Macaca mulatta: one gene and its partners. The protein of the gene in region 7 interacts with the protein of the main gene of each other region in a biochemical or structural test. Links are inferred from orthologs where the notes say so. Each region holds a gene or a part of one and is shown on either strand. Other genes may lie near its edges.

The links.
Region 1: the proteins of LRRK1 (region 7) and NEK1 form a complex in vitro, tested with the Homo sapiens proteins (2 studies listed by BioGRID and IntAct, with this or other methods). The link is inferred for Macaca mulatta from reciprocal best matches to the Homo sapiens genes LRRK1 and NEK1.
Region 2: the proteins of LRRK1 (region 7) and CKAP2 form a complex in vitro, tested with the Homo sapiens proteins (2 studies listed by BioGRID and IntAct, with this or other methods). The link is inferred for Macaca mulatta from reciprocal best matches to the Homo sapiens genes LRRK1 and CKAP2.
Region 3: the proteins of LRRK1 (region 7) and CWC15 form a complex in vitro, tested with the Homo sapiens proteins (2 studies listed by BioGRID and IntAct, with this or other methods). The link is inferred for Macaca mulatta from reciprocal best matches to the Homo sapiens genes LRRK1 and CWC15.
Region 4: the proteins of LRRK1 (region 7) and CIMIP4 form a complex in vitro, tested with the Homo sapiens proteins (2 studies listed by BioGRID and IntAct, with this or other methods). The link is inferred for Macaca mulatta from reciprocal best matches to the Homo sapiens genes LRRK1 and CIMIP4.
Region 5: the proteins of LRRK1 (region 7) and BAG5 form a complex in vitro, tested with the Homo sapiens proteins (2 studies listed by BioGRID and IntAct, with this or other methods). The link is inferred for Macaca mulatta from reciprocal best matches to the Homo sapiens genes LRRK1 and BAG5.
Region 6: the proteins of LRRK1 (region 7) and SCEL form a complex in vitro, tested with the Homo sapiens proteins (2 studies listed by BioGRID and IntAct, with this or other methods). The link is inferred for Macaca mulatta from reciprocal best matches to the Homo sapiens genes LRRK1 and SCEL.

The regions. Positions count from the first base shown.
Region 1 is NC_133410.1:178,070,658-178,074,608, reverse strand, and holds part of NEK1 (serine/threonine-protein kinase Nek1), read left to right. Parts: intron 1-3,393; 5' UTR 3,394-3,441; coding exon 3,442-3,558; intron 3,559-3,951. UniProt on the Homo sapiens protein: Phosphorylates serines and threonines, but also appears to possess tyrosine kinase activity. Involved in DNA damage checkpoint control and for proper DNA damage repair.
Region 2 is NC_133422.1:31,690,633-31,694,583, forward strand, and holds part of CKAP2 (cytoskeleton-associated protein 2), read left to right. Parts: intron 1-2,597; coding exon 2,598-2,676; intron 2,677-2,759; coding exon 2,760-3,628; intron 3,629-3,951. UniProt on the Homo sapiens protein: Possesses microtubule stabilizing properties. Involved in regulating aneuploidy, cell cycling, and cell death in a p53/TP53-dependent manner.
Region 3 is NC_133419.1:95,758,873-95,762,823, forward strand, and holds part of CWC15 (spliceosome-associated protein CWC15 homolog), read right to left. Parts: intron 3,798-3,951; coding exon 3,709-3,797; intron 2,837-3,708; coding exon 2,729-2,836; intron 1-2,728. UniProt on the Homo sapiens protein: Involved in pre-mRNA splicing as component of the spliceosome. Component of the PRP19-CDC5L complex that forms an integral part of the spliceosome and is required for activating pre-mRNA splicing.
Region 4 is NC_133415.1:14,555,857-14,559,807, reverse strand, and holds part of CIMIP4 (ciliary microtubule inner protein 4), read right to left. Parts: intron 3,339-3,951; coding exon 3,194-3,338; intron 1-3,193.
Region 5 is NC_133412.1:176,980,268-176,984,699, forward strand, and holds the start of BAG5 (BAG family molecular chaperone regulator 5), read right to left. Parts: upstream 3,077-4,432; 5' UTR 2,429-3,076; coding exon 2,331-2,428; intron 1,622-2,330; coding exon 250-1,621; 3' UTR 1-249. Other genes in the region: COA8 (cytochrome c oxidase assembly factor 8), read left to right, coding at 3,445-3,567. UniProt on the Homo sapiens protein: Co-chaperone for HSP/HSP70 proteins. It functions as a nucleotide-exchange factor promoting the release of ADP from HSP70, thereby activating HSP70-mediated protein refolding.
Region 6 is NC_133422.1:72,336,537-72,341,219, forward strand, and holds the start of SCEL (sciellin), read left to right. Parts: upstream 1-1,812; 5' UTR 1,813-2,047; intron 2,048-4,683. UniProt on the Homo sapiens protein: May function in the assembly or regulation of proteins in the cornified envelope. The LIM domain may be involved in homotypic or heterotypic associations and may function to localize sciellin to the cornified envelope.
Region 7 is NC_133412.1:91,426,103-91,430,053, forward strand, and holds part of LRRK1 (leucine-rich repeat serine/threonine-protein kinase 1), read left to right. Parts: intron 1-704; coding exon 705-899; intron 900-1,838; coding exon 1,839-1,990; intron 1,991-3,951.

The DNA of each region.
Region 1 (3,951 bases), on a different chromosome or scaffold from region 7:
GACTAGTCGAGTTGGCAAGGTCTATAAAATGGCCTTACATTTAAATCTTTCATGTTTCTAGATAAAGAAACTGAAGTCCACAAAAAGGCAGATGGTTAGTTTTTGATTATGTAGCTCGTCTTGTCTCTTGATTCTGAATTCATTGCTTTATTATATGACATAACTCTTTGGAAAGCTCAAATGTCAAAAAAATCTCTAATTTTTTCCTTGTTGCTTATCTTCAAGATCAGATATGTATTATAGAGATTGAATTGATGTAATTATTAGAGACCTTAAGAACACTATAGAGTGGGTAAAGTTGGTATTGTGGTTGTAATGTGATGTTGGAAACTGAGTGGTAGAAAAGGCAAACATTAATATGAGTTTGTTACAATACTGAAGTCAACAGGATTCTTATGTTCCTTCAGTTATAAGTTATGATTTTGTGGAAGGCTATAGTACAATGTGTTACTGTCTTTATTTCATTTGGTATGAAAAATTTTATGGAATTATTATTCAGTTGAGAAGTCTCACAACTAGGAAGTAGCTCAGTTAAATATATTGTAAGATGCTGAAAGTAATCTATTTTTTCATGCTTTCCCTTTTACTTCCTTTAATGTACACTGACGTTACAAAGAAAGGAGAGTTTGTCTGTTTTCCTGAAAGTCATCTACCACAAGTCTTTTGTTGTTCAGAAAAGTGCCTGCATTTGACATATTTGATGGCAATTAGAGTCATCTTTCTTCACTAACAGGGTCAGTAGGTCTTCTTCATAGAGTTAGAACCACAATGTTCAGTAATGTTGTTGGCAGTAGAATGCAACACTGGGGACTTTTGGAGCTTCCATCTTGTTAGTGTGGTCCCTAGAAAGGAATTGGCAACTAAATTTTAAGGAATGGCCAAATTGACTAATTTTGTTTTCCCTCTCTTGGCAAAAAGTCACAGAATAATGGTGGTTGTGAAATAATCTCATTATATGGCTATTATTTAATTTAATTTATGAAATTTAGATTACTAAGATGAGTTTATCTTGATTTTTTTCCTAAGTAGCATAGTAATGTAATATATTAAACATTCATGTTCTGGAGAAATCATTAAATTGTGGCCGGTGCCCAGAGAGCCATTATATTGTGCCAGTTAACACAACTCGGACTTGAAAATGTATTTGGAACAACTATTCTTTAACTCACTGATGCTAAAATGCTATAATAGTGGTTTTTTTCTTGTTTCTCTAAAATTGCTAAAGGCATTCTTGTTTTCTAAGGTAGAGAAAGGCTCTTTCTCACAAAATTTCATGAGGCATAATTATCTCATCAGTGCTACCACAGGCTGAGTTCTGGCCTGTGGTCTGGTCTTACAGGCACAGAATATGATGTTTGTCATTTAAGGAGATTGGATCATTTTTTAGAGGCAAAATAAAAACAAATTTAGCATTGATGGATGAGATGAGAACATGGGATTTTTAAATTTACAATGAGAAATATGGTAAACTGCCACAGAAATTTAAAAAGAGTTTCACGACAAGCTTATTTTCTCCTAGAAAGGAATCACACATTGGAAGCCTGCTATGAATGGAAATAAAAAAGAGCAAGCTAGGTGAATTAAATGTTTATTAGTTTCAGATTAGCATAGTAAATTCATATATGTCTACAATAAGGGTGATATTGCCAGTAGGTGGTACACGTTATTGTACCACACACAAATGACTCTTTCTCACACTTTTTTCAGCTTTCACTACCTAGCTTATTGTATTCTGGCTTCTCCTGAAACTACCATTCTCTTTAAATTACTATTCCTAAAGATACTAATGACCTTAATCGATTATTTTGGTATGGTAAGGGCCTAAGTATGATACTGAAAGTAGAAATATAAAGAAAAGATTAATACGTTTGTTTATATCAAAATAATATCTTATATTTAACTAAAGGCAAATAGGATATAAGGGAAAATCATTTATGACAGATAAGAGCTTCATCACATAAGGAGTTTTTACAAATTAAAGACTAACCCAATATAAAATGATTAAAGAACATGGATAAATAGTTCAAAAGAGAAGAAAATAGAAATGTTCAATAAATGTGGCCAGGCATTGTGGCTCACACCTCTAATCCCAGCACTTTGGGAGGCTGAGGTGAGCAGATCAGGTCAGGAGTTCAAGACCAGCCTGGCCAACATGGCGAAACCCCATCTCTACTAAAAATACAAAAATTAGCTGGATGTGGTGGCACACACCTGTAATCCTAGAATCACTGGAACCTGGAAGGCAGAGGTTGCAGTGAGCTGAGATGACGCCACTGCACTCCAGCCTGGGTGACAGAGTAAGACTCTGTCTTAAAAAAAAGAAAGAAAGAAAAAGAAAAAGAAAAAAATGTTCAATAAATGTGGAAGAGTTTTTCAAATTTACTGGTAAGCAAAAGAAATTAAAAATGAAACACCGTTTTCCCCATTAGATGTAAGGAGTAACAACAGTAACAGATAGTGACACAGTGCTCACATGTGCCAAGTGCTGTTTTCAGTACATTCTTAAATTAACTAATTCTTCTACCAGTTCTGTAAATATGTACTATGGTTATTCACATTTTACGTATGACCAAACTGAGCACATAAAGATAAGTAACTTACATAAGTTTACATAACGAAAAGTGATAAAGCTAAGATTTAAACCTAAGCTCTCTGACTCTAAAAGTTTTAGTGTTCTTTAACTATGACCCGTTATTGCTGCTCAAAGATTTTAATAAATAATAATCAGTGTTTTGTTATTATAAATGACGTTACAGTAAACATCTCCCTGAATACAAAAAATAGTAATAACCAGTGTTAATAAGGGTACCTAGTAGCAGGCATTACTGGCTGAATATATATTAGTAGACATTTCTGTTAAGACACTTAATATGTTTGAAAGCCATACTGTAACATGGGCATATTCTTTGAATTCAGAATTTATCCTAAGGAAATCCTTACCGTAAACACAATAAAATATGTGTACAAAAACTATCTGAAATCGTTCTATAATAGCAAACATTTTAAATGAATGTTGAATAAAAGGGGATTGGTTAAACAACTTCAAGAAATAGTGTATTATTAGGCTTTCATTCTTTTTGGAGAAAATAAAGTAATGCTACTAATTAATTCATGTAAGTTTGCCTTTCTCTCTATACGTTAAGTATATGCAGTATTTGGCTTTCCAAAGCCTTCTTATAAAGTTGAAATATCACCGTTTGTTTTTTCTTTTCTCTTTTTAGATGTAATTAGGTTGTACTAGTACAGTATATAAAGTGTAACTTTTAGTAAATATATTAAATATCCTTTTTTTAAATGTTAGCAAATCACTAAAGAATTAGATTTTGAATTAAACATTGAAATTGTTATAATGTTTTATCTCTCATGTTATAAATGCTTTATCTTTTTTGTTAGTTTTTTAAATGTCTAGCATATCTGTAAAGATGCCTTAGAAAAAGAATCATGGAGAAGTATGTTAGACTACAGAAGATTGGAGAAGGTTCATTTGGAAAAGCCATTCTTGTTAAATCTACAGAAGATGGCAGACAGTATGTTATCAAGGAAATTAACATCTCAAGAGTAAGTATATTTTTAGTTTGGTTTCATGAGTAATAGTTTGGTTACATTAGAGCTCATTGCTAGAGATTTTCTTTAAAAAAAAAAAAAAAGGGTAATTGATAACCAAAAGCAAAAGATTCCTTTATTCCCACTAATATCAGAATAGCCTATATATATTCTTTCAGATTTTTTCTATGATATGTGCTTATATTTATGTGTTTAGAAAAATGTACTTGCTGTTCTGTAACCTCATCTAGTTTGGACATCTTAAAATGTTTCTACTTTCAGATTCAACTCATTCTTTTTAACTTCTTGCTGTATTTTGTTGATTGAACTGTATTAATACTATTATATTTTAACCACTCGCCTATTGATGGACTTTTAGGTTGTTTATTAATGGTTTCATTTACTATT
Region 2 (3,951 bases), on a different chromosome or scaffold from region 7:
GAATGAAATTACTAGGGAATAAGTAGAGATAATATGGATTCAGTCAGTGACTCTCAACCGCTTATTTAAATAGGGAATCCAACAGGGTCAGGGGTTTATAATACTCTTAAACATAATAGGAAGAAAAGAAAATTCTAAAACACTCCTTGTGGCTTAAGTACTACATTTATTCCTTTCAGAAAACATGTCAGCCGGGTGCAGTGGCTCAAACGCCTGTAATCCCAGAACTTTGGGAGGCCAAGGCGGGTGTATCACTTGAGGTCAGGAGTTCTAGACCAGCCTGGCCCACATGGTGAAACCCTGTCTCTACTAAAAATACAAAAATTAGCTGGGCATGGTGTCAGGTGCCTATAATCCCAGGGAGGGCCAAGGCAGGAGAATCGCTTGAACCCGGGAGGCGGAGGTTGCAGTGAGCCAAATCATGCCATCACACTCCAGCATGGGGGACAAGAGCGAGACTTCGTCTCAAAAAAAAAAAAAAAAGGAAAGAAAACAGATGTCAATTTAAGTGTTAATCACTTCATCAGTGAATATTAAATAAGACAGCCGACCTGTATTGCAGCTTTTCAGAATTAAACAATATTTTACAATCTCTAAAGTATAGATATCCTAAGACTCATTTCAGATAACTCTTCTGAGGGTGGTTTTATAATAAGACAGAATAGGATTAAGTCTCCACACTAGACAGGTGAGTAAGATGGGCTCTTCTTGTCATGCTGAGTTTTGTTTTGTTTTGTTAGCTAGAAGTTAGCTACTAAGATACCCTGTTAAGTGGCACATTTTTATCTTCTTTCACCATTGTTCAAAATGTATAGTACAGGGTATGTCAAAGTTCTGTACCTTCTCCAAGCTGACAGAACAAATAGATATGAAAGCAATGTAAACAAAATGTATTAACTACTAAATTATGTCAAATGTAAAATATACTTTTTTTTGTTTTTTTTGAGACGGAGCCTCGTTGTGTCGCCTAGGCTATAGTGCGGTGGTGCGATCTCAGCTCACTGCAACCTCTGCCTTCTGGGTTCAAGCGATTCTCCTGCCTCAGCCTCCAGGGTAGCTGGGATTACAAGCATTTGCCACCATGCCTGGCCAAATTTTGTGATTTTGGTAGAGACAATCACCTGCTAAGAGATGCTCACAGTCTGCCTTGGCCAGTTTATAGCTATAAAAATGAGTTAGGTCAGTTTCTTGAGGAGGGATTTTCTTTGCAATACCGCCTAGAAACTAAGGTTCTTTTTTTGAGAAATGATCTCACTCTGTCACCCAGCCTTGAGTGCAGGGATGGGATCTTGGCTCATTGCCTCAACTCCCAGGCTCAAGCAGTCCTCCCTCCCCAGCCTCCCAAGTAGCTGGGACTACAGGCACCCACCACCACACCCAACTAATTTTTTATTTTTTGTAGAGACGGGGTTTTGCTGTGTTGCCCAGGCTCTCTCGAACTCCTGAGGTCAAGTAATCCCCCCCACCTCAGCCTCCCAACGTGCTGCTATTACAGGCATGAGCCACCACAACCAGCAGTCCATATTCTTAATGTATCCTAATATACATTAAGCTGTGAATGGCATATGGTAATTTTTGAATCACTTTTGGGAGGGCTTTTTTTTATAAAAGTTTTTTCAATGTAGTACATCTGTTACTAAGTACTTAAAACTAACCCAAGGAGGTATCACTAAAGGTTATTTGAAGACTTGTTTGAATGACTTGAGAATGATTTGAAATAAGATTATTAAGTATTTACAAATTCTGTGGACAGAAAGTGTTAGGACTTTTAGAAAATATCTTTAAATTCCTCAGCCATTTGTTTACACTATTTTTTTTTTTTTTTTTTTTTTTTGAGATGGAGTCTCGCTCTGTCACCCAGGCTGGAGTGCAGTGGCGCAATCTCAGCTTACTGCGAACTCCGCCTCCGAGGTTCACGCCATTCTCCTGCCTCAGCCTCCCTAGTAGCTGGGACTACAGGCCCCCGCCACCACGCCCTGCTAATTTTTTGTATTTTTAGTAGAGACAGGGTTTCACCGTGTTAGCCAGGATGGTCTTGATCTCCTGACCTCGTGATCTGCCCACCTTGGCCTCCCAAGTGCTAGGATTACAGGCTTGAACCACTGTGCCCAACCTGTTTACACTATTAAAAATAATTAAAAGTTTTGCTTAGGGCTGGGCGTGATGGCTCACACTTGTAATCACAGCACTTTGGGAGGCCATAGTAGGCAGATCACCTCAGGTCAGAAGTTCAAGACCAGCCTGGCCAACATGGTGAAATCCTGTATCTATTAAAAATACAAAAATCAGCTGGGTGAGGTAGCATGTGCCTGTAATCCCAGCTACTCAGGAGGCTGAGGCAGGAGACCCGCTTGAAACCCGGGAGGCAGAGAGGTTGCAGTGAGCCGAGATCATGCCACTGCTCTCCAGCCTGGGTGACAGAGCAAGACTCCATCCCAAAAAAAAAAAAACTTGCTTAGGACAAATTTTAACTCAGGTCTTTATTAAATTTAAAATTAGTAAGTCAGTTAATTGTTAACATTGCCCTCTTCTTCCTCCCCAACAGGAAGCCTCCTTGGTACAGGATTGATTGATTAATCATTTTGTTTGTTTTTAAGTAGTAGAGGTCGGAGAGTTGTGACATCTGAGGACCAAGTTCAAGAAGGGGCTAAAGTGCTGAAACTTAAAACAAAAATGGTAAGATGTGGACATAGCACTCCTAAATGGTCCCCCTTTCCGTTTTGCCTTTCCTAAACACTTTTCTTAAATAATTCTTTTAGGCTGATAAAGAAAATATGAAGAGACCTGCAGAGAGCAAAAATAATACAACAGTGGAGAAAAATTGCATTCCTTTAAAACCTTCAAATGAACTAACCAATTCAACTGTAGTAATTGACACGCATAAATCTAAGGATAATAATCAGACTCCGCATTTGTTACTAACTGAAGGTGATCCCCAAAGTCAACATATGACATTAAGTCAGGCATTTCACCTTAAAAACAATGGTAAAAAGAAACAAATGACTACAGAAAAACCAAAGCAAGATGCTAACGTACCCAAGAAACCTGTGCTTGGATCTTATCGTGGCCAGATTGTTCAGTCTAAAATTAATTCATTTAGGAAACCTTTACAAGTCAAAGATGAGAGTTTTGCAGCAACAAAGAAACTTTCAGCCACTATCCCTAAGGCCACAAAGCCTCAGCCTGTAAACACCAGCAGTGTAACAGTGAAAAGTAATAGATCCTCCAATATGGCTGCCACTACTAAATTTGTGAGCACTACATCTCAGAACACACAACTTGTGCGACCTCCTATTAGAAGTCATCACAGTAATACCCAGGACACTGTGAAACAAGGCATCAGTAGAACCTCTGCCAATGTTACAATCCGGAAAGGGCCTCGTGAAAAAGAACTATTACAATCAAAAACAGCTTTATCTAGTGTCAAAACCAGTTCTTCTCAAAATATAATAAGAAATAAGACACTATCAAGATGCATAGCATCTGAAGTTGTAACCAGGCCTGTTTCATTGTCTAATGATAAACTGATGGAAAAGTCAAAGCCTGTTGACCAGCGAAGACATACTACAGGAAAAGCAACTGTTGATAGTAGATCAGCTCAGCCCAAAGAAACCTCAGAAGAGAGAAAGTAAGTAGATGTAATTTTCTTTATTGCCTTAGTTTTCAATCAAGTACTGTTTGTAGATTTGGCTTATAATTTCCTTGACTGCATTAGAATTTTCTTTCATGGTTTCTCTTCTGTTGTATGCAGCAAATTTGTATTGTGGAGCAATATGACCTGAAAGTTTTTGTGTTTGAATATGTTTTCTAAGGTTGCTTTTTTAAAATCTAAGGTAAATGCTTTAATAATAGTTGGGAAATACTTTATAATCTCAAATCAAAAAATGCATTAATGGAATCATTGAGCATAATTGACCTTGATATGTTTAATATTTCATCAAGCTTGTGAAC
Region 3 (3,951 bases), on a different chromosome or scaffold from region 7:
CACCTCAGCCTCCCAAAGTGCTGAGATTACAGGCGTGAGCCACCGCGCCCGGCCTCAGTTTCTATTTTTATACCTCCCATCCTTTATCAGTTACAACACTGTCTTTCTTCACTTTTATTTTAGCATCAACTTCTTCAAAGTCAAATCATCCTGAGTTTCCTTCTCAGAATTTGGAATATAAAATGTCTAAAATCCTTAGCTATCACTTCTAGATCTACCTGTTAACATGCTATCTTAAGCTAAATATAAATCCCATTTTGCTGTGTTTTGGGGATGACAGAAATCGATGACTTAATAGATCAAGGAAAAAGAGATGGTGTGGAAATCATTTTTTAAAAAGTTATTATTTTAATAACCTAATTTTTCATACAGATTACTGATATTCATTTCAATATTCAAATGTAAACAATGAATTTCATTTTTATGGAGAAAAATAAAAATGAAAATAGGAGGTGAGAAGATCTAACTTGTAAGGAAATAGGAAAATTCCTTTACATCACTGGTCAGAATTTAAATAAAATCAGGAACTATCCATCACAGATTAAGTACAAGTAGCTCTCTAAAAGCTATATATTTATTTGTAACAAATTATACTGATGCTTAAAGGGAAAAGATATTTCTCTGAAATACTAGAAAAATAGGAGCTTAGGTATACAATATATCCAAACTTATAATATAATGTGTATGACATACAAAGGTCATGGACATTTTATGTTTGGAATATTATTTCCTTTGGAGTTACTGAATGATTGTCACTAACAGCCCTGGGAAAAAAAGGCATAAACTCTTTCAACATTCAAACAGCAGGCATACTATGTTTCATAATATAAGCTAGTTGTCAGATGGCATGTAGGTCAAATCCTAACTACCTGTTTTTGTAGATATTTTATTGGAACATTGCCACACTCATTCGTTTATGTACTCTGTGGATGTTTTTATGCTACAACAGTGGAGGTGAGTAGGTGCGACAGAGGCTCCATGACCAGCCAGCCTAAAATATTTACTACCTGGCCCTTTACAGAAAGTGTGCTGACCCCTGACAAGGGTTAAATGGTTTGAAAAATCTTAAATTTGGGACGTGGCAAAAACCAGCCAATAGAAAGGGAAACAGGGCTAAAAGAAACTAAACTATCATTCAACTCCAAGAAATATCAACACGTTTTATTACATGAAACTCACAAAACTGCAAGGCCTTCTGTCTAAAATGCTTATCGTCCCTCAAGGTCAACCAAAAGCATTTAAATTGCTCATCTCTTTATGTGTCCAGAACTATTAGGCAAGCTAAAAGAATTTGGAACAATTGCCCTCTAGTGGTATGCAAGTGGGATTGGGAATGTTTTTATAATTCTTCGACTTAAAAACTACATGTAAAAACTATAAGCTGTTATAGGAATTATGCTGTCTTATAATACAAAACTTTGATGAGAATTGTATTTTAAAATGCCTTCCTTCTTCCAATCTGAATTCTAATCATCAAAGTCCATCCCAAATTCTACCTCTTTTCTGAATTCTTCCCTGGCCCTTCTGATTCACATGAACTCACTTCCCTAGATTCCTGGTATTGACCATGTAGTATATTTTTTTACTTTCTTTTTTAAAAACAGAACAATTCTTGCATCAAATAAAATTTTACACAGAAATCTACAAAAAAGCTGTGCTGCTCTGGTTGAAAACATCCCTACCTGAATGTCTTATAATGTGTCAAATTCAGTATGTTCAAAACAGATCTCATCAACTACCTCTTCTCTCTGTATAAATATGGCAATTCTTTTGCATTCCCTGTATTGATGTACAGCACCAACATTTACCTACAAAGTGAGGGTCCTCTCTGCTGCCACAATCAATCAGTCACTTTGTCAACTCTACCTCTTTTATTTTTTATTTTTTCCTGCTCCCCTTCCCACTTTGACCTCCTTGATAATCAGTTCTATCAGCATCTAATTACTTATCTTAATTCCAACTCCTATCATACAAGTTAAGAGTCTCTTAATTGGTAAGATTACTGAAACAGCCTCCTAACTCAGTTTTTTTCCAATCCATCCTGCGTATTTTTGCCAGAGTAATCTCTCTAAAATGCATATCCAATTTTATCAATCTCCTGCTTAAATCAACCAGCTCCTCATGTCCTTTAGAAAAAAATCTAGACTCCTTCAGCATTGTTTTGCAAATCTCTAATGCTCTGACTTGTGCTTGCCTCCTCAGTTTCACCTCTTATTATCACTCTGGGTAATTCATTAAGAGTTTTAACTATCTTTAAGTTTTATATTTTTTCCTCATATTGTGTAAACGGAGAGACTGTGGGGGCTCAGCAAAGTTAGGTAGCTTGACCTAGGTTATATAATATCTACTGACTAATTGCCTTAATAGTACCTAGGCAGGAGACAGAGAGATAATCTTTGTAGACCATGACTATATCTTGATCATCTTTGATTCTCCTGTCAATTAACAGATATTGACTAAATGTTGAACAAATGAATAAACTAGTGAATGACTAGCAAGCTGGTGAATATTACTCAATGTATCTGAACTATTGGGAAATAATTTTTAACATAACCAGAATACCTAGGATGTCACAAAAATAATAAGATTTATAGATCTACAAGTGCTATAATATTTAGACACAGTAAGGGAGATTTCTAATATAAGAAGGTATTACTTATATTCAAAAAAATTTCTACTTTAGTATATGTGAGAGGAGAGATGTAAATATTTAACACTTTGGTTTTACCTTCCTGGCCTGCTCTTCAGCTCTTTCCTTTTTAATTTTTTCCAGTTCTGCAAGAAGAGCTGCAGTATCATCATCATCACTTTCTTCTTCAAAATCTTCATCTTCTTCCTAAAAGAACAGTGAGAGCCCAGAAGATTGGAGGGAAAATATACATTACCAAAACACAGTACATATGTACAATATATCACCCTAAGAAAGTCAAAACAATTTTATGTAGCTCAAAACAACTTTAAGCTAGCAAGTAAAGATAATCAAAAGTGCAAAAAACTGCTAATTTCTCAGAAGAAAATAATTTCAAATGAATAATCATTAAATTTCACTTGAAATTAGGTTTCTTGTTTTAACTATTATGAGTAACTCCATCATTTAACTCTAGAATTAACTGCTGATATGTATACACAGGTAGATATTACTCATTGGATGCCACTCAGGTTTTTCACTGTCCTGTATGTAGAAAACTGCAAACTGATTATAGGCTCTAGGGTCCCACAGAATTTTATCATTAACTGATGTGCTAATCCTTAAAAACCTTCTGCTTAGATTACTTCCCTCACTAAGCACAGAGGGAACCATTAAGTGTACTCCACTTATAGAAAGGGGCATATCTAATGTGGAAAGGCCTCCAGGTACAACTCTAGAGGGCACTGTTTATAGGAAACCCAGTGTGAAGAGTGCCCTGTAGAGGTGTGTAACACACCATAGTGCAGTAGTTTAGTACAGGACATTATTTTGCGGGAAAGCATGTCTTTTAAGATTCCTTCCATATTTGGTTCTCTAGAGACCAAACTTGTTCTTAAAAGTCCCACAAAATAATACTTTTTGTTTTAAAATCAACTATAAAGTTTAGCACTGAGGTCAGGGTTATATTTGAATAACAGCAAGCAAATATATGTCACTTCTTAAAGCCAAAGGCATAACAAGTATTTCAGAAAAACATGGTAAATCAATTATTAGAGATGAAAGGAGAAAACAAAACATACATCTGTTAGAGGGTCATCTGCATCAAGGTTGGCAGCAGGAATCTGGTCTAACCGTGGCTTTTTTGACACTGAAGAGGAGGTTGTATGTTCTGAGGGGAAACAAAAATCACTTAACTTAGTAAAACAAATACTGCATTTCTTAAAATGTTTTAGGGACCTGTGGGCACGAGGAGCCCACACTGAAAGCATTATCCACAGTGAAATCACATCCACAGTGCCTGGGCAAATAAGCCTTTGGTAAAT
Region 4 (3,951 bases), on a different chromosome or scaffold from region 7:
ATTAACTGGTGATGGTGGTGGAGGGGTGGTAGTGGGAGTATTGCCTGACCAGATATCAGGTCACTTATAATATCTTAGTGATTAAAAGTGTAATATTAGACCAATGGACAGAATAGAGCCTGGAAACCGATCTATGCATGTGTCAAAACCTGATGGATAACAGAGGTACCACTGCAGGTCACTGGGAGGAAAGATGAGCCTATTCAATGAAAGATGCTGAGGGAATCAGTAATCCACATAAAGAAGGAATTGAAAATGAACCCTTACTAGGGAAAGATTTTTGTTGTTGTTGTTCCATTATTTTGAGGGCTGGGCACATAGATGCCCAAGGAGTGCCCGAGCTCATCATCTCACTTTTTATACAGCTGGGCAAGCTGCCGAAAGTTTCCTCAAGCCTAGTTTTACTACTTTCTTAAGTGGCTAAAACTCACAAAAGCCGTCTACAGTTTTTGAAAATGAATCCCTACTTCATACTAAAAACAAAAATCAACTCCAGGTGGATTAAAGACTTAAATGTGAAAAGCAAAGCTAAATATTTTAGAAGACTGTATAAAAGATGATCTCTATGATTCAGCATAGGATAGGAGTCCCTCAGCCTGCTCCCCCAGCACCTTCTCCAACTCAGTAAATAGCCATCTCATCCTTCCAGTCGTTCAGGTCAAAAACGTTGAAATCAACCTTAATTCCTGTATCTCACCCCAAAATCTATTCATTAGCATATTCTCTTCTCTCTGCCTTATACAAATATCCAGAATCCTACTACATCAGGCCACCTTCACCATTACCTCCCTGAGCTGCTATATTGCACAATGGTGCCTTCCAGAATCGTGCAGTGCACTAGCCCAGCTTCCAGGACCAAGCCACCATCATCTGTCCCATCTGGAGTTTTGCAGCTGCCTCCTACTGGTTTCCCTGTTTCTGCCCCAGCTCCCTATGTCCATTCTCCCCATAGCAACTGGAGTGAGCCTTTAACCTGAGCCAAACAGGACCATTCTCCTGCTTAAAACCCTGGCTTGGTTTCTCATCTCACTCCGAGTAAAGACCTTCCAGCAGGCTTCACGAGCCAGTGTGTTTCCTCTGATGTCTTCTGCCTCACTCTTGTGCAGCCATACCAGTCTCACCAACCTCAAACAGCAAGCGCAAAGGCTAACCCCGGGTGGGTGGAGACAGAGAGGGACAGATGGATGGGCACACTGACAGTACTGTGCTGCAGGGTGAAGCCCTGATTCATAGTGTTTGCCAATTTCCAGAGTGTAAATACTACTAGCATAGCCAATTTTAAGACAGCATTTATGTGCCAATCAGTGCAGCGAAACAATTGCCTCCTGTGAGCTGGCTCAAGCTGCTAGGAGCTCCAGCACATCCTTGGCACAGTTCTACTTCCCAGGTGGGATGATGGGACATGGACATTTTAAAAAATAGATTATTTTACATTTAAGTAGACATTATCATACAAAGTTGTATGGAATAGCTATTTGGTGACCGATACTTGTTAAAGAGAGAACTGGAAGGCAGGATCTGGAAGGCCCAGAACAGAGAGCAAGCAGAACTGTATTCTTGCTTTCCTCCCCCAGCACCATCCCTTCTCCAAGCTCAAAGAAAAATCCAGAAAGGCTTCCAGTGGGTGTCTGGTTCCTCGGGTGACAGGGATCCGAGCCAGGTGGAAGAGGTTTGTCAGGCCTCTGGGAACACTGGAGAGGGCCTGGAGTGAGGAGAGAGGAAGGAGCCGCACCAGAAAGAGTCTCATTTTGCAATGAGGCCAAATCAGAATGTGGGGCAGAGAGAAGTCCCTGCGTGCTGTGACGGGCATCTGAGCCATCTAGAAGACCCTGGGAACAGGATCAAAGCTAGGGAAGAGACTTAGTGGTCAAGAAAAGACTATGAGGCTGTGGAGGCAGAAGGAACACCTGACTTTGAGTCCCAGACACAATGCAGACTACTAAAAGTTCTAGGGCAAATGATCTGAAATCTGCCCGTGAAATGGAGCTAACAGCACTCTCCTCATCCCAACCAAACAGAACTACAATGACCCAATGGAAACCCTCTGTAAATGTCAGATCCTCCAACCCACCCTTCCTGTCTTCCCAGGTAGCGCCACCTCCAGGCTCTGGAGAAGAAAAATGATAGCCTGACAGCTACTGAGTGCTCACGACTTGCCTTGGCCAAGCACCTTTGTGTGGCACTTCATAAAGTCCTGCCAATGACCCAGCGAGGGCCATACTCTCATTATCATCTCCACTGTACTGAGAAGGCAGTGGAGGTTTGGAGAGGTTGAGGATCCCACCTAAGGTCACACCCAGCTAGTGAGCTGAGTTTTGAACCAAAAAAACTTGATATTGTCACTGTGATCAAAGGTTCCTGGGATGGGGCTGGGGGTGGGGAGCAGCAGTCCTGGGTCTTCTACTGAGTCCTGGGCCTCCTACTGGCAAATTAAGAACCAGAGGTGGGCAGGGTACAGTGGCTCACGCCTGTAATCCCAGCACTTTGGGAGGCCGAGGTGGGTGGATCACTTGAGCCCAGGAGTTTGAGACCAGCCTGGGCAACATGATGAAACTTTGTCTCTATCAAAAATACAAAAAACAAAACAAAAAAAAAATTAGCCAGGCATGGTGGCATGCATCTGTGCTCCCAGCTACTTGTCAGGGCAGGGTTGTGGCTGAGGTGGGAGGATTGCTTGCTTGAGCGTGTGAGGTGGAGATTTCAGCGAGCCAAGACTGTGCCACTGCTCTCCAGCCTGGGCAACAGGATGAGACTTCAAAAAACACAAGAAGGGAAGGGAGGGGAGGGGAGGGGAGGGGAGGGGAGGGGAGGGGAGCGGAGGGGAGGGGAAGGGAAGACAAGGGAAGGCGGGGAGGGGAGGGCAGGGGAGGGAAAGGAAGGGAAAGGATGGGAAAGGAAAGGAAAGGAAGGGAAAGGAAGGGAAAGGAAAGGAAGAGAAGGGAAGGGAATGGAAAGGAAGGGAAGGGGCCACAGGTGTCTGGGAGCGTGAGGGGCTGACTGCCAACTGGGATGAATCATCCACACATCCAGGACAGGGGTCTGGATGCTCCCAGCACTCGCAAGCTGACATAGAGGACACATGGGCATGAAATAAGTGTCCTTGGAGATGTGCCCTGGGGTAAAGGCCTTCCCTGCCCCATGCCTGGGAGACCATGGGTGTTCCCGGTCCCACCCTTTTCCCCTTTGACTTGACCTTGAAACAAGTTTGACCGCATGTTGTAGCCGAGATCATAGTAGTCTGAGAAGACGGAGGAGATTTCCACAGGATTCGGGGTCCTGCTGGGCCATGAGCTTGCCTTCTTCTGGCCCTCGAAGGCTTCCTCAATAGCCCTTTGAGCCTGAGCAGAGAGGCAGGGACAACAGACCGGGGATGGGAAAGCAGTGTCAAGCCCCATATCTCCCTCCAACCCCTCCTCCCTTGACCCTGCCCTCCCCACCATGATCCCACCTTCAGCCTGCAGCCCTCAACCTGTTCACAGGGCTGGGGAGCTGGAGTATACAAAGGCCCCAGCCCCAACCCCTCTCAGCTGCACTGCCATGGGTGGGGGGCATCAGGTTAACTATCATAAAACCTCTTCCAAGCATTAAGCACCTGCTACATGCAACACTGGGGTGGGGGGTCTCTATAGGGTGCCACTCTTCCCACCATTTTATAAATGAGGAAAGCGGGCCTCTGGAGGCCCGAGATCACCCAATTCACATGGCTGGCAGGCCACAGAGCCCTGGCTTGCCTCCTACAACTGAGGCATCACGCAGGGCAGCTCTGGGTGGGTGCTTAGCTTTCAACAAGGCCAACTCCCTCTTCATACCAACAGGGAAACTGACACGCAGAGAAGCTGAGCCCAGGCCCAGGGGCAGAACACCTGGGTTTGAGTTCCAATTCTGCAATATATCAGCTGCTGACTTCGGCAAGCCTCTTCTCCGCTCTAGGCCTCAGTTTCCCTACATGTA
Region 5 (4,432 bases), about 86 Mb from region 7:
CACACAAAAAAAGGACAAACCAAACAAACCACACCACATCATAGAGAGAATGATCCGAATGGAAAAGTTAATGTGCTGTAATGATATTTGTCTTGCAACATCACAAGCAGCAGATACTGAATAGAATTTGCTTCAATCATAAATACTGAGACTGAAATATGCACGTATAAATCAATGAACTGAAAGCTCTCTATACATAGAAGCACATATGAAGTGCAAAACAATATCAAAAGTGAGACCTCTGGTATTTTAGTACTCCCATTCATCGGATTTCAGGTCGAGATAGCTGAGAATATTCTGGGCAAGCTTCACAGCCTGTTTCCTGGCAGCCTTACACTTCTCTTCTCCCTGCGGATCAACAGCATCCAGGGCTAGCAGCTGCTTGGTGAGCAGCTCTTCCAGCCGGATGTAGTTCTTATCGGTTCGATTTCCATCAAATGAAAGAACTTCTCCTTGGATCTCGGACAAGTTTCCAAGGACGTTCCAGACGGCTTTATGGGATGGGTGCTCCTCACAAGCAAACAGCTTTCTTTTCTCAAGGGCCTCCTTCAAGTCAATATACGTGATCAGAGTTTGCACCTCGATCACTGCTCTTCTCCTGGCTTCCCGGATGCAGGGGTTTTTTTCAAGACTTACCTCATCCAACTGTCCAATTAAACCCTGCAATTCTGTTTTGGAGCTCAGGTACAATTCAGGAGGGTTTTGTGCTTGGAGAAGTTCATTTTTTATTTCTCTCATTCTCGTGAGGACCTTTTCTATTTTTAAAATAGAATGATTCTGTCTCAGGTCAAATGCTTTAGTCGTGTCTGCTTCCTCTTCCAAATCCAGATACTTCAATAATTTGTTGATATCTTCTACTACCTCCCTCCGATAATTTCTGATTTCTGTCCGGCCGCACACATCTAGAGCATCTAGGTCAGCGATCAGCCCTGAGAGCACACAGGATAAGTGCCTGCAGGTCTCACTGTTGTTCACGCCCATCAGAAGTGCAATCAGGACCCCTCGGGCCTTGTTCACCTCACACATCACAAAGTTGATTTTGGCCACGGAAGGATGTGCATCCTCGGAAAGCGGCAGGGAAGGCTGCTTTTTCATGCAGTCTTCGATAATCTCTTGCACCGCACAGATTTTGGTTAAAGTGTGATACCTTGCTTTCCGCAAGGAGATTTTTCCTCCAGTTTTAACATGTGTCAGCCTCAGAATGATATCCTGGATGCCTTCTTCAAACTCGTCAGTTACGCAGTTGCCTCCATTATAAAATGGCACAATTTTCTCTCTAACGAGGGACTGGGCTTCCTCAAAAATGTTCTGTATTTCAATCCGGTGTGGGTGGTTTGCATTCTGCTCCAACTCTTTGAGAAGACGTTCTGTCTCCTGTGCTGCCCTCTTCCTAGCTTGCTGAATATCTCCTTTTCCTTCAGTATCTACAGAGTCTATTTCAAAAAGTTGTTTTGTTAGAATCCTCTCCAGTTTCTTGTAATTCTTGTCATCTGACAGACCACTGAAGCCGACAACTTGCTGTTCTACACTTTTTACTTCCTTTTGGATTTCCTGAAGCCTACTAATAGAAGGATGTTGGTTTCCCATATCCATACTTTTGTTGTGTTCAGTTTCACAAGCACTAAAAGATGACAAGAATAACTTATTACAGCACAAGGCTTCTGCAGAACACTAATGGTATACTAAGTCATTCTAAAATTCTCATTTTAAAAAGGCATACTTTCGAGCAGTCATCCCACCTCAGCCTCCCCAGTAGCTGGGACTACAGGCGTACACCACCACGCCCAGCTAATGTTATTATTTTTAGTAGAGACAAGTCTCACTATATTGCCCAGGCTAGTCTCAGACGATCCGCCCGCCCCCGCCTCTCAAAGTGCTGGGATTAAGGTGTGAGTCACCGTACGCCGCACAAACTATTTGGAACCGGCAGGGCACCTTTATGCAAGGTGAAACAGTAGCTCTTGTAACCTTCCGAACACTAACAGTACCCCGCCCCGCCACACAGCTATGCCTAGTTTCCAGAAACTCTAAGCAAAATAAACTGAACCAGTAGAACAAAAACCAGTGGCTCTCAGATATCCCCAAGTTCCCGCTTCTTCCCTTTGTGCACTTCCCCTCCCCACCCTTTTAGCTCCTCACACATCTTCCCTCCCAGATGTCTCCCCGAAGAGATAAAAACCCCACAGGTAAAGAAGAGCGACGGGGATTGCGCTGAAGGGCACCACCTTGGGCTTTCGAGGCCCAGCACCTCCTCAGCCCCCAACATGCTCCACTGTCTCAAAAAACTACAACCTGCGAAAATGTGGTAACTGAATAATTCATTCACTCGCCTCCCACTGAGAGTCCACAATCGCCTAATGCACGTTTCAAGCTCTTGGTTTCTATCAAACGGCTCGCTCAAGGTGGGTAACCAATGGAAACGCATCATCCATCCCCTGTGGATGTTCTGGAGGCCACGGAGGGCAGGCGGCCCGAGTTCCTTCCTCCCCGCCTCGCCCTTCCCTCTTGGCTCTTTACCCAGAAGAGGTCTGAGCTGGCTGCGATCTTGGCGTCCCGTGGCTGAGGTGGCGAGGTGGAAGATCAGCCCTTTACGGGGTGCGGCACCGGAGCTGGGCCCCCAGCTGCATCCCTCGCGCCCCTCCCGACTAGGTCTGAGCGGGGCAGCCGGTGAAGGGGCCGGCGGTGAAGGGGCTGCTACTGGCTGCAGCAGCCGCTCCGGGCGTCTCGGCCTAGGTGCCAGGGCGCGCCCGCAGGCCCTGACCTCACAATGGGCGCGCGAGGGGCCCTCGGCCCGGCCGGGGGAAGCCGGGGAAGGAGAGGAGCCAAGGCCCCGCCGGAGACACCAGAGACCAGGCCCGACCACCCCTGGACAGCGTCCGAGCCAGGGACGGGGACGGCGCCGAGACCAACTCTGCTCGGCCTGAGCCGACAGGCCGCGCTGGGGTGGGCGCTGGCAGAGAGGTGGTCCAGCGGGGAGCCCCGCGCCGACGGGGGGCCCCACTCGTCCCCCCGACGGAGGGAAAAGGCCACACGCCGCGCTTCGCTCACCTGTCCTGCCCGCGCCATCGCGCGATGCGTCGCCGACGCTTCCACGACTTCCGCAGCTCCGGCCGTCGCCCGGGCCAGCCAGCCCACGCCCCTGGCCGAACACCCCTAAACCCGGGGACACCTCCTCCGGCGTCCGCGCCTAGCCGCCGACAGCGCCAAGCCCACCGCCAGCGGCGCAGCAAGGCAACCTGGAGTGACAGCGACCAAGGAGCGGCCGCCCGGGTCAGCGGCGCGCCGCCCGCCGCTCCCGTAGCCCGTCGTACCGCGGGGAAAGCGCACGGTCGGCCGCACCGCCGCCCTCCCTCGGGCTTCGCGACCCTGCCGTAAAGCGGTCTCTCGCGCCGTCGCAATGCTGCCGTGCGCCGCGGGAGCCAGGGGGCGTGGGGGCGTGGGGCCATGGTGGCCTTGCGGGCGGGGAAGAAGAGTTTTCTCCGCGCTCTCAGCCGCTCCTTCGTCTGCCGCGGCTGTCAACTCGCTCCGGAGCGCGGCGCCGAGCGCAGGGATACGGCGCCCAGCGGCGTAAGCAAGCGCCTGGGGATATTGGGCCGGGAGGGGTGACCGGAAGGAAAGACAAACCGGGGCCTCGGGGCAGCTGCCTGCCATGCACAGCCGCCTCAGGCCTTTCTGCAGGTGCGCTCGCGTCCGATCCCGAACAGTCCCGCAGCCCCAAGGCTTCCGCGTCAGGGCTCTCGGTCGGATGGGACTGAGGGTGCCGCCGCCACGCCGGAGACTGTTGACAGCCAGAACCTTTAAGCATAAGAGTCACCTGGCAAGTTTGTAGCTATCTTATTTGTTCCCGAGAATGATGATTTTTTATATTTAAAGAGCTCTTGGCTTAGCGTGCATTTTTTTTTCGTGGTGTGTGTGTGTGTGTGTGTGTTTGTGTTTTGGCTTTGTTAAAATTATTAGAGCTTTTATTCAAGCGGTGAACACTTTATACTTTATCATCGTACTTTTGTAGCACTTCACGTTCAATAGTTGTTCTTATTTGCAAACTATGTGTGGGTATATGCATGTTACTGGCCAAAGATCCGCAAAGAATGTCTGTAGCAAGAAAGAGTGGCAAGCAATTTTTATAAGTCATACTTTTGGGAGGGATGTTTTGTTTAAAGGAGGCCTAGGCCTTGATTCCATCTGTCAGATGAAAATGTTGGCTAACGGTGTGGAATGGGCTGGAGATAAAATATTCAAGCAAAGCATGCAAATACCAAACAGGCTAATGAAGGAGGCTGGAAAACTTGGTTTAAACAATAATTAAAGAAGTGTAAAAAAGAGCTAATTAAAAATTGTTCGGGCTCCCTGGCTCACACTTGTAATCCTAGCACTTTGGGAGGCCGAGGCGAGCAGATCACGAAATCAAGAGGTGAGACCATCCTGCCCAACA
Region 6 (4,683 bases), on a different chromosome or scaffold from region 7:
CAGAAACTTAAAGCATATTTTAAAAATATTTTGCATGTATAAAATTCCACAAAAAGGCAGAGTAGACACGTATATATGTTTTACTTTGAAAAAACATTTTCCATTTTAGATTTCAAATTCCTCAGCCCAGAATAAGGGAGCATCAGGGAACGTAAAGGAAGTGGTCTCCCAGTCACAATGACCACATACTGCAATTGCCTTGCTCTCCAGTCTGGGTTTCTACTTCGTGTTACAGTCATTTCAGTGGGCACCACTCAGCTGCTTTGTAGTTTTCAGGAGCAGTTGTTCAGGGAGGATTTGGTTCATTGCTGGTGTGACATATGAGTGACGATGACCCAGGAAGTTCTGATGACGTGACTTCTCTCAGCAATGTTCTGGGTTTGCTAAGCTTCCTCAAAGCCTCTTTGGCACTTACGGAAGTTGCATTTCAAAACCTGTAACAGGAGTCCCCACCTAGGATGGCTCTTCAGTGCTACTCCTTCCTCCCAGTAGAAGCAACCTTTGTTTTTGTTTGTTTGTTTTGTTTTTTGTTTATTGAGATAGGGTCTCACTCTGTCACCCAGACTGGAATGCGGTGGTGTGATCACAGCTCACTGTGGCTTGGTCCTTCCATGCTCAAGAGACTCTCCTGCCTCAGCCTCCTGAGTAACTGGGAACAAATACATGCACTATCACACCCAGCTGATATTTTATTTTCAGTAGAGATGAGATCTCTCTCACTGTGTTGCCCGGTTTGTCTCAAACTTCTTGGCTCCAGTGATCTTCCCACCTTGGCCTCCCAAAGTGCAAATGAAAGCCACTGCAACTGGCCAGAAGCAACCTTTGACATTGGGTCTACTGCTGCCCTCAGTTATGAGAGAAGTTTCAACCATCCTTTTCACATTTTTTTTTTTTTTTTTTTTCTGAGAGAGTCTCACTCTGTTGTCTAGGCTAGAGTGCAGTGACATAATCTTGGCTCACTGTAACCTCCACCTCCCTGGTTCAAGTGATTCTCCTGCCTCCTCCTGCCAGAGTGGATGAATGGTTCTTCTTGACCATCTAATCACTGTCTACTAAGACTTTAAAACTCTGCATCAACATCACCTTCCAGGTTCTTCCTTCTCTCCCCTATGCGATGCCTGGCATTGAAAATTTCTGTCTATGACTTTATCATGGTATGTTACTGTTATTAAATATAGCTGGGGTTACAGGTGTGCGCCATCACACCCAGCTAATTTCTGTATTTTTAGTAGAGACAGGATTTTACCATGTTGGCCAGGCTGATCTTGAACTCCTGATCTCAGGTGATCCGCCTGCCTCCACCTCCCAAAGTCCTAGGATTACAGGTATGAGCCACCACGCCTGGCCCTTTTTCACATTTTTTTATACATGGATAAATAAGATAGAGATTAGAATTCTTATGTGCTGGGTGTATTTTCCCTTTGATAGTTTTACAAAATATTCTAGGTGTAGAATGTTTGGAACAGACTTCTTTCGTGTTTTCTGATCCTAGGGTTCCTGGGTTTTTGAGAACTTGTTTGTCTTGAAGTTTCCTTTAAGCCATGTACTCCTTGCATGCTTGTCTGTGCCCCTGCCTTCCAGGTACTGTGGGCATATGGGGGTTCCTTCTATTGAGTTTTCAGTTTTATTTTTTGAAAGAGAATGCAAAATAGATTGGGTCCTATGCCACCTTGTCAGTGATATGGTTGTGCATATTGTTGATATCAGTTAAAGGGCAATCACAGGAGCGTATCTATATATATATATATTTGCATAACAAGGCCGTAAGTTAAAGAATTCACCAAACAAAGGCCGTAGGTTCACGAGTGAGACTGTTTTAATTGAACTGGTATTTGTACAAGGTGACACCCTGTTGCATACCACAGACCTCCTCCCTGAGTGACTCAGCCGCTGAGAAAGAAACCTCTGAACTGTTCATTAATACAGTCAGGTAGAGGTTGAGACTCCACTGAATAAACTCTAGGTTCCCATTTCTTTCAGTCAGATCCTCCCAGGGAATCACTACAGGCCGGTTAGCCAAAAAGTCCTGGTTTTCTGCTCAATAGAGGTAAGTTGAATTATACTTGCAAACAGAAATACATCTGCTGTATGTGCACAGCTTTCTCTGTGTTCCTTTCAAATGATTAAAATTAGAACTTACAGTATTATCTTTGTCTTTTCTTCCTATAAATTTTGACAGCCTCCAGCTGACTGTTAGCTCTGCTCTTCCTTGCTGTACTTTTAGGCCACATTGCATTGAACTTCTTGGCAACTTTACACATTACGGGCATCACAGAAATGAGCACCTATTTGATTTTCTGGGTGGGAGCTGTCAGCTGGTGAATCCTGCCACACAAAGGATAATAAATTATTTAAGCGAAGGGACCAGCACCTGCTGGTTTATTTTCTCAAGTGACTATACAAACATTTTTTAAAGGAACTTTCTGTTTTCATAAATGATGCTTTTAGTGAAATAGTGAACTCAAATATTGCTTTATAGTTAATAAGTCATATTTTTTCTCTACTGCTAAAAATATTGCAAGTTGTTGAGCTATGAGAGAGAGAGGTTTATTTTTATGAGGTTTTTGTCTCCACCCTATCTTCCCCAAATAAGAAAATTGCCATTTCTTACTTGAAAGTACCAAGGAGTAAAGGCAGGGTGTGGGGGCAGAATAGGGGTATATATGATCTGTGGGCATCTGGCCAACTTCTCTACAGTATATTCTGCATTCTAACCTAAGGAGTGATTAATATATATGGGGGCAATTTTCAAACTTTATTCATAGCCTAGTCCTGAAAAACCAGTTTTGGGAGACTTTTGGTAAGGATAGAAGAGTTCTTTTGTAATTAATAGTTAAGCTGACTTGTCTGGTTTGTGTTTTTTTTTTTTTTTAATCATTTCTATTTATGATACAGAGCTGTGGAATTCAAATGCAGGGGCCACTCACAGCTTGCAAATTGCAGGTCTGTGTCCTCCAGAGAGGCGCCCCCACAGCATACTTGGCTCTATCTTTAGTACTTGAGTTCTCATGGCTTCCTATTGCTGACCAGGTCACCTGCAGTCTGAGAGGGGTTTAGGCACACCAGTGCTCAGTGCTCATTTCCCAGAGGTTTACCGAAGAATTTTATAACTTGGCTTTCAAGTGTTTATAGTAACCAGAAAACTAAAGCATAGCATGTGTGGGTAATTTTATTTTTCATAAAATGTGATTACATTTAAAACTGTCTTTCACTTCCACAGTTTATAACGTAGATATAGCCTTCCTAATATTTGCAGTGCTCCAGTGTTTAAAGTATCAGAAACATCAATTTGAGAAAACTGAGAAATGACAACAGTAAAAATTTTAGTAAAACATTCAGATGATCCTAAATGTTGGGATATACAGAGAATGCCAACAACAGGTCAGAATTTTTATTGGAATGTTAGCTTCGTGTAAATCTTAGATCTAATTGACTGAATATTTCAACTGAAATGGAGCATAGGCCCATCTAGTCTAATGCCTGAATTTTCTAGATGAGAAAAACAAAGCATAAATGTTAAGTAACTTGTGAAGATCAGAGTAGCAGAACCAGAACATGAAGCCAAATTGCTTGTCTTTTGTCTTACTGAATTTTCTCAATATTTTTTTCAAATACTTTTTATTATAAAATATGTAGTAGCAATAAACGAACCACACTCCATCACAGACTGTGGTTATCCAGCAATATGTGGAAATATTATACTGTGTATGGTGTGACTAAGACATAATGGAAGACGTAGACATATGTTTCCAACTTGTGGCTTGTGGAATCAGTGTTGCCATTTATTATATTTATGAGATTTTCATCTCAGGATCCAGTAGCCCCTCAGCAGGGAGGGGATCTGATGTATGTGTGTTAGCTGTGGTCTGTACAATCAGAACACCCTCGCCCCGAATGCCATTCTGTAGGTGATGCTTACCTGACTGCCTTCTCAGACTACCAGAATTATGATGAAATACCTGAGAGGTTCATATTCCTGGGGACTATGTAAACAAAACAAAGAATATGTTTTGAATGACTGAGCTCATACTGTGGAATGAACTAAGCAGTCAACTTAAGCAAACATTGTTTAACTGAGAGCATCCTATATGGTTCAGGCATCAACTCCCACCATTTCTTAAGAGTGAGGGGATCAAATCTTTGGCCCTGCAGTCCAAGGGAAATCTTTATTGGTTTCACTTGGCTTCACTTTCTGTCATTATCCTGCTTCTAGACCATTTGTTGATCATTTTCCATTTGCTCTGGCTAGGGACTTTGAAATAAAGATTTTTATATATTAATTGCTGCATACATAGCTGGAGTTGTTCCAAGTTCACTTCTGAATCAAAAGTCATTTTTGTTGTTGCTTTTTTTTTTTTTTGAGATGGAGTCTCGCTCTTTTTGCCAGCCTGGAGTGCAATGGCACGATCTTGGCTCACTGCAGCCTCCGCCTCCCATGTTCAAGTGATTCTCCTGCCTTAGCTTCTCGAGTAGCTGGGACTACACGTGTGCACCTGACTAATTTTTGTATTTTTAGTAGAGACGGGGTTTCACCATATTGGCCAGGCTGGTCTCGAACTCCTGACCTCAGGTGATATACACGCCTCGGCCTCCCAAAGTGCTGGGATTACAGGCATAACCAATGCACCTGGCCTTAATCAAAAGTCTTTATCAGTTATATTCCTTAAGTGTTTCCAGCTTACC
Region 7 (3,951 bases):
GGGTCTGTATAAATTTTCCTTGCTGGACCTTTTTATGATTATGAAAATTAGAGAAGGCAACATGTTGTGATCCAGGAGACACTCCTTTTTTTATGAGTTGCATACACAGCACTTTTAGTACCAAGCACATCAAGCTGAGGGTATGTGTTTTCCTGCCTTGTCTTGCTACTCACGGATAAGGACCATGACCTCCTTGGAGTCCTTAATCAGTGACTAACAGCAAGTTCTCAGTATGTTTTATTGGACGGAAGGAAGGATGGATGGATGGATGGATGGATGGATGGATGGATGGATGGATGGATGGGACAATGGGCAAATGGACGATATGGTGGGAAGTCAGATGGATGGGTGGATGGAAAAGAGGAAGGATAGGAAGATAGATGGATAAATGTGCAGGACAGGTGGTCAGATGGATGGACAGATGAGAAGAATGGATAAATGTACAGGAAGACAAGCAAATGGATGGATGGATGGATGGAAAGAAGAAAGGGTAAGAAAATGGAGAGATAAATGGATAGAAGAGAAAGTGGTCAGATGGGTGGATGGATGGGTAGTTGGGAGGATGGATGGATAAATGGACAGAGGGACATGGTCAGGTGGTTGGTTGAATGTTTGTTTTCCTTGTCTAATTGTCAACCTCAGGGCCAACTAGTGAAGGCCACTGGGCCCAGGCAGGGACCTGACTTGGCTTATTCTGTGCCCAGGTAGATATGTTCTCCTATGGAATGGTGCTCTACGAGTTGCTGTCAGGACAGCGACCTGCACTGGGCCACCACCAGCTCCAGATTGCCAAGAAACTGTCCAAGGGCATCCGCCCAGTTCTGGGGCAGCCGGAGGAAGTGCAGTTCCATCGATTGCAGGCACTCATGATGGAGTGCTGGGACACTAAGCCAGAGAAGGTACTTGGGAGCACAAAGCCCAGGGCCCTGGGACCTCCTGCCATGTGGCAGAAGCTGTGGGTCCCCAGAGTATGTGTGTGTGGCTGCCCACCCGTCACAATTGGCGACCCTTCTCTGCTCATTTCTTCTAGAGGGTGATATTTGCTGCTTCTAACATATCTACTTTCATTTTCTTTGTGTGTGCATGTCACTCTTAGGAAACAAACTTCCTTTTCCTCCCCAACTTTTGTGTTACTTCACCATGCAAACAAAGTATATCAGCCCCTTTATAACAATACAGTCCCTGTGCAAGAACAGAGAGAATGTGGGTATCTCTTTCTAAAGTAACGGGGAAAAGGTTTGGTTGTGAGAATCAGAGATCATATTATAGTGTTAAGGCTAGTTTTTTGTTGGTGGTGTTTTTGTGTTTTTGGAAGAGGCTAGTAGTTTCAAGGTTAAAACTCATTTATTAAATCAAACGAGCTAGTTTAATGTATTGAGAGTAAACAGGATATTCTTTAGAAGAATGCATGTCTTTATCTGGGCATGGTGACATGGACTTATAGTCCCAGCCACTGGGGAGGCTGAGGCAGGAGGATCACTTGAGCCCAGGAGTTCAAGGCTGTGGTGCACTATGATTGCACCTGTGAGTAGGTTCTGCACTCCAGCTTGGGCAATATAGTGAGATGAAGAGTGTATGTCCTTGGCCTGGGTTGGAATACCTGGGGTTCAGCTAACCTGACCAGATGAGTTTAAATTGCCATAGCCAAGGGTGACCCAGATATCTGGATGGGTTTGCTCCTGACATCTGAAGCTGTTTTAGCCTCTTGTTTGGATCCAATCTGAACGAACAGAATCCCTCATTTCTCCCTGGTTGAAGCTGGCTGACCTCATGGGCAGAATTGGCACCAATCTGGTTGTAAGTGACCTTGCTCCCTTCTGGTGGCTCCTCTCCCTCAGCGACCGCTGGCCCTGTCGGTTGTGAGCCAGATGAAGGACCCGACCTTTGCCATCTTCATGTATGAGCTGCACTGTGGAAAGCAGACAGCTTTCTTCTCGTCCCAGGGCCAGGAGTACACCGTGGTGTTTTGGGACGGAAAAGAGGAGTCCAGGTAAGCTCCTATGGCCTGCCCTGCCCTCTTTGAATTTGGGGTGGGAGGCCACTGTGGAATTTGGGAACAGAGTCCATGTTGACCACAATGAGAATTATTTAGCAGACAGTAGGGTCCAGAACCTGGTTAGACTGCACTCAAGAAAGAGCAGGGAGAGCAGAAGAAAGTCCACACAAACAGACGTGCATGTATGGTTTTGTGGTTAAGAGACAACAGAAATGAGTAGTATCTGCCAGGGTGTCTGGGGACATGAGGGCACTGTGGCATGTGCCTACAGTCCTAGCCACTCAAGAGGCTGAGGCAGGAGAATCCCCTGAGCCCAGGAGTTCAAGTTTAGCCTGAATGACATAGCAAGACCCCATCTTTTAAAAAATTAGAAAATTTAAAAACATTTTTTAAAAGGAAATGAGACCTGTCAGCCTGGTTATGTGACTTTCTCAAGAATGTTCTGCTGCCCCAGATTGCAGAAGGGGCAACAGGGTGGGTTTAAACAAAGTTGGGGTTTTGCCAGGAGGGAGAGAGGGGCAGGGGCGGGGTGTTTTCAAGGGAGTGATACAGAGATGGACCAAGGCACCTACGTGAGGCCATAAATTCAGGGAGCACAACGGAAAGTACCAAAGGATCCTAGGTATTGCTAGAGTTAAAAAAAAATTTTTTTTAAACCTCAAGAGTTATGGTATTAGGTGGGGTGAGCTGAAAAAGTAGGAGGTGGCCGTCAGAAAAGACATGCTTGCCATGGGGTGGGTGGGAGGCACCCAGTCAGTAGTAAAGACAGCATCTGGAGTATGACCTTTGCAGAGGGTGCCTGGGGTAGAGTGGGGGAATATCACTGAGCTTGAGACATAATAAGATAAATGGAACAGACTTTGCAGTTTCTCTTAGGTCAGTCTTCGTGAGTTTGCATCAGATTTTATGCCATTAGGACTGAGTGTTGTGACACAGATGCACTCTAAGAAATGATGGTGTAAAAAAGTTTTTCTGACCAGGCCTTGTGGCTCATGCCTGTAACCCCAGCACTTTAGGAGGCCGAGGCAGGTGGATCATTTGAGTTCAGGAGTTTGAGACTGGTCTAGGAAACATGGTGAAACCTTGTCTCTACAAAAATAAATAAATAAATAAAAACATAACAAAACTTAGCTGGGAATGGTGGCGAGCACTTGTAGTCCCAGCTACTCAGGAGGCTGAAGCAGAAGGATTGCTTGAACCCAGGAGTCTGACAAGCAGAAGGATTGCTTGAACCCAGTGGGTGGTGACTGTGCCACTGCACTCCAGCCTGGGTGACAGAGTGAGACCCTGCCTCAGAAAAAAGAGAAGTTATTCTAAAACACAGCAATGGAGCATGCCTTCCTGATGGGATGTACTCTAAGGACAAAACAAAAAGCAAACATATTAATTAAACAGGTTTCAGTAATTATATTGTTGGTAGTACTGTTGTGATTGTTATTCTAAGATGCTGCTTGTGGTTGTGGAGTAAGTTAATGAGTAATTATATTGCTGTTGCTGGAAACCGTGATTTTCAGCATGGGCTAAAAGAGAAAGAGTTGTAAAGTAGGGTAAGTAAAAGCTTGCAGTTCTGAATTGATTGGATGGACTCGTGATATAGTTGAAAAAAAAATAAACACAAATTTCTCAGCTCTGCTCACTGAAAAGGCCTAAAAACAAGGACCAACCAAATGCCAGTGTGCATCCCTAGGACCTAGACTGTGCTCTCTAAGTACCAAAGTGAACCAGGGCTCATCAGAATCATGGCAGAGTCCAGGTCTGGGGCAGGAAGTGCGCCGGGAACATCTGCCACCCTAGAAGCAAGGACACCGTCAGACACTTCTGAGGGTGAATTGGAGGACCTGGAGCCAGACTGGCCCTGGGAGGCTGGGCCAGACCCTGCTCTGCTGGCCTAGAGACACACACGTGGCAGGTACCTGAGACAGTTCTGCTCAGGCCTCAGAAGACTTCCCAGAGGG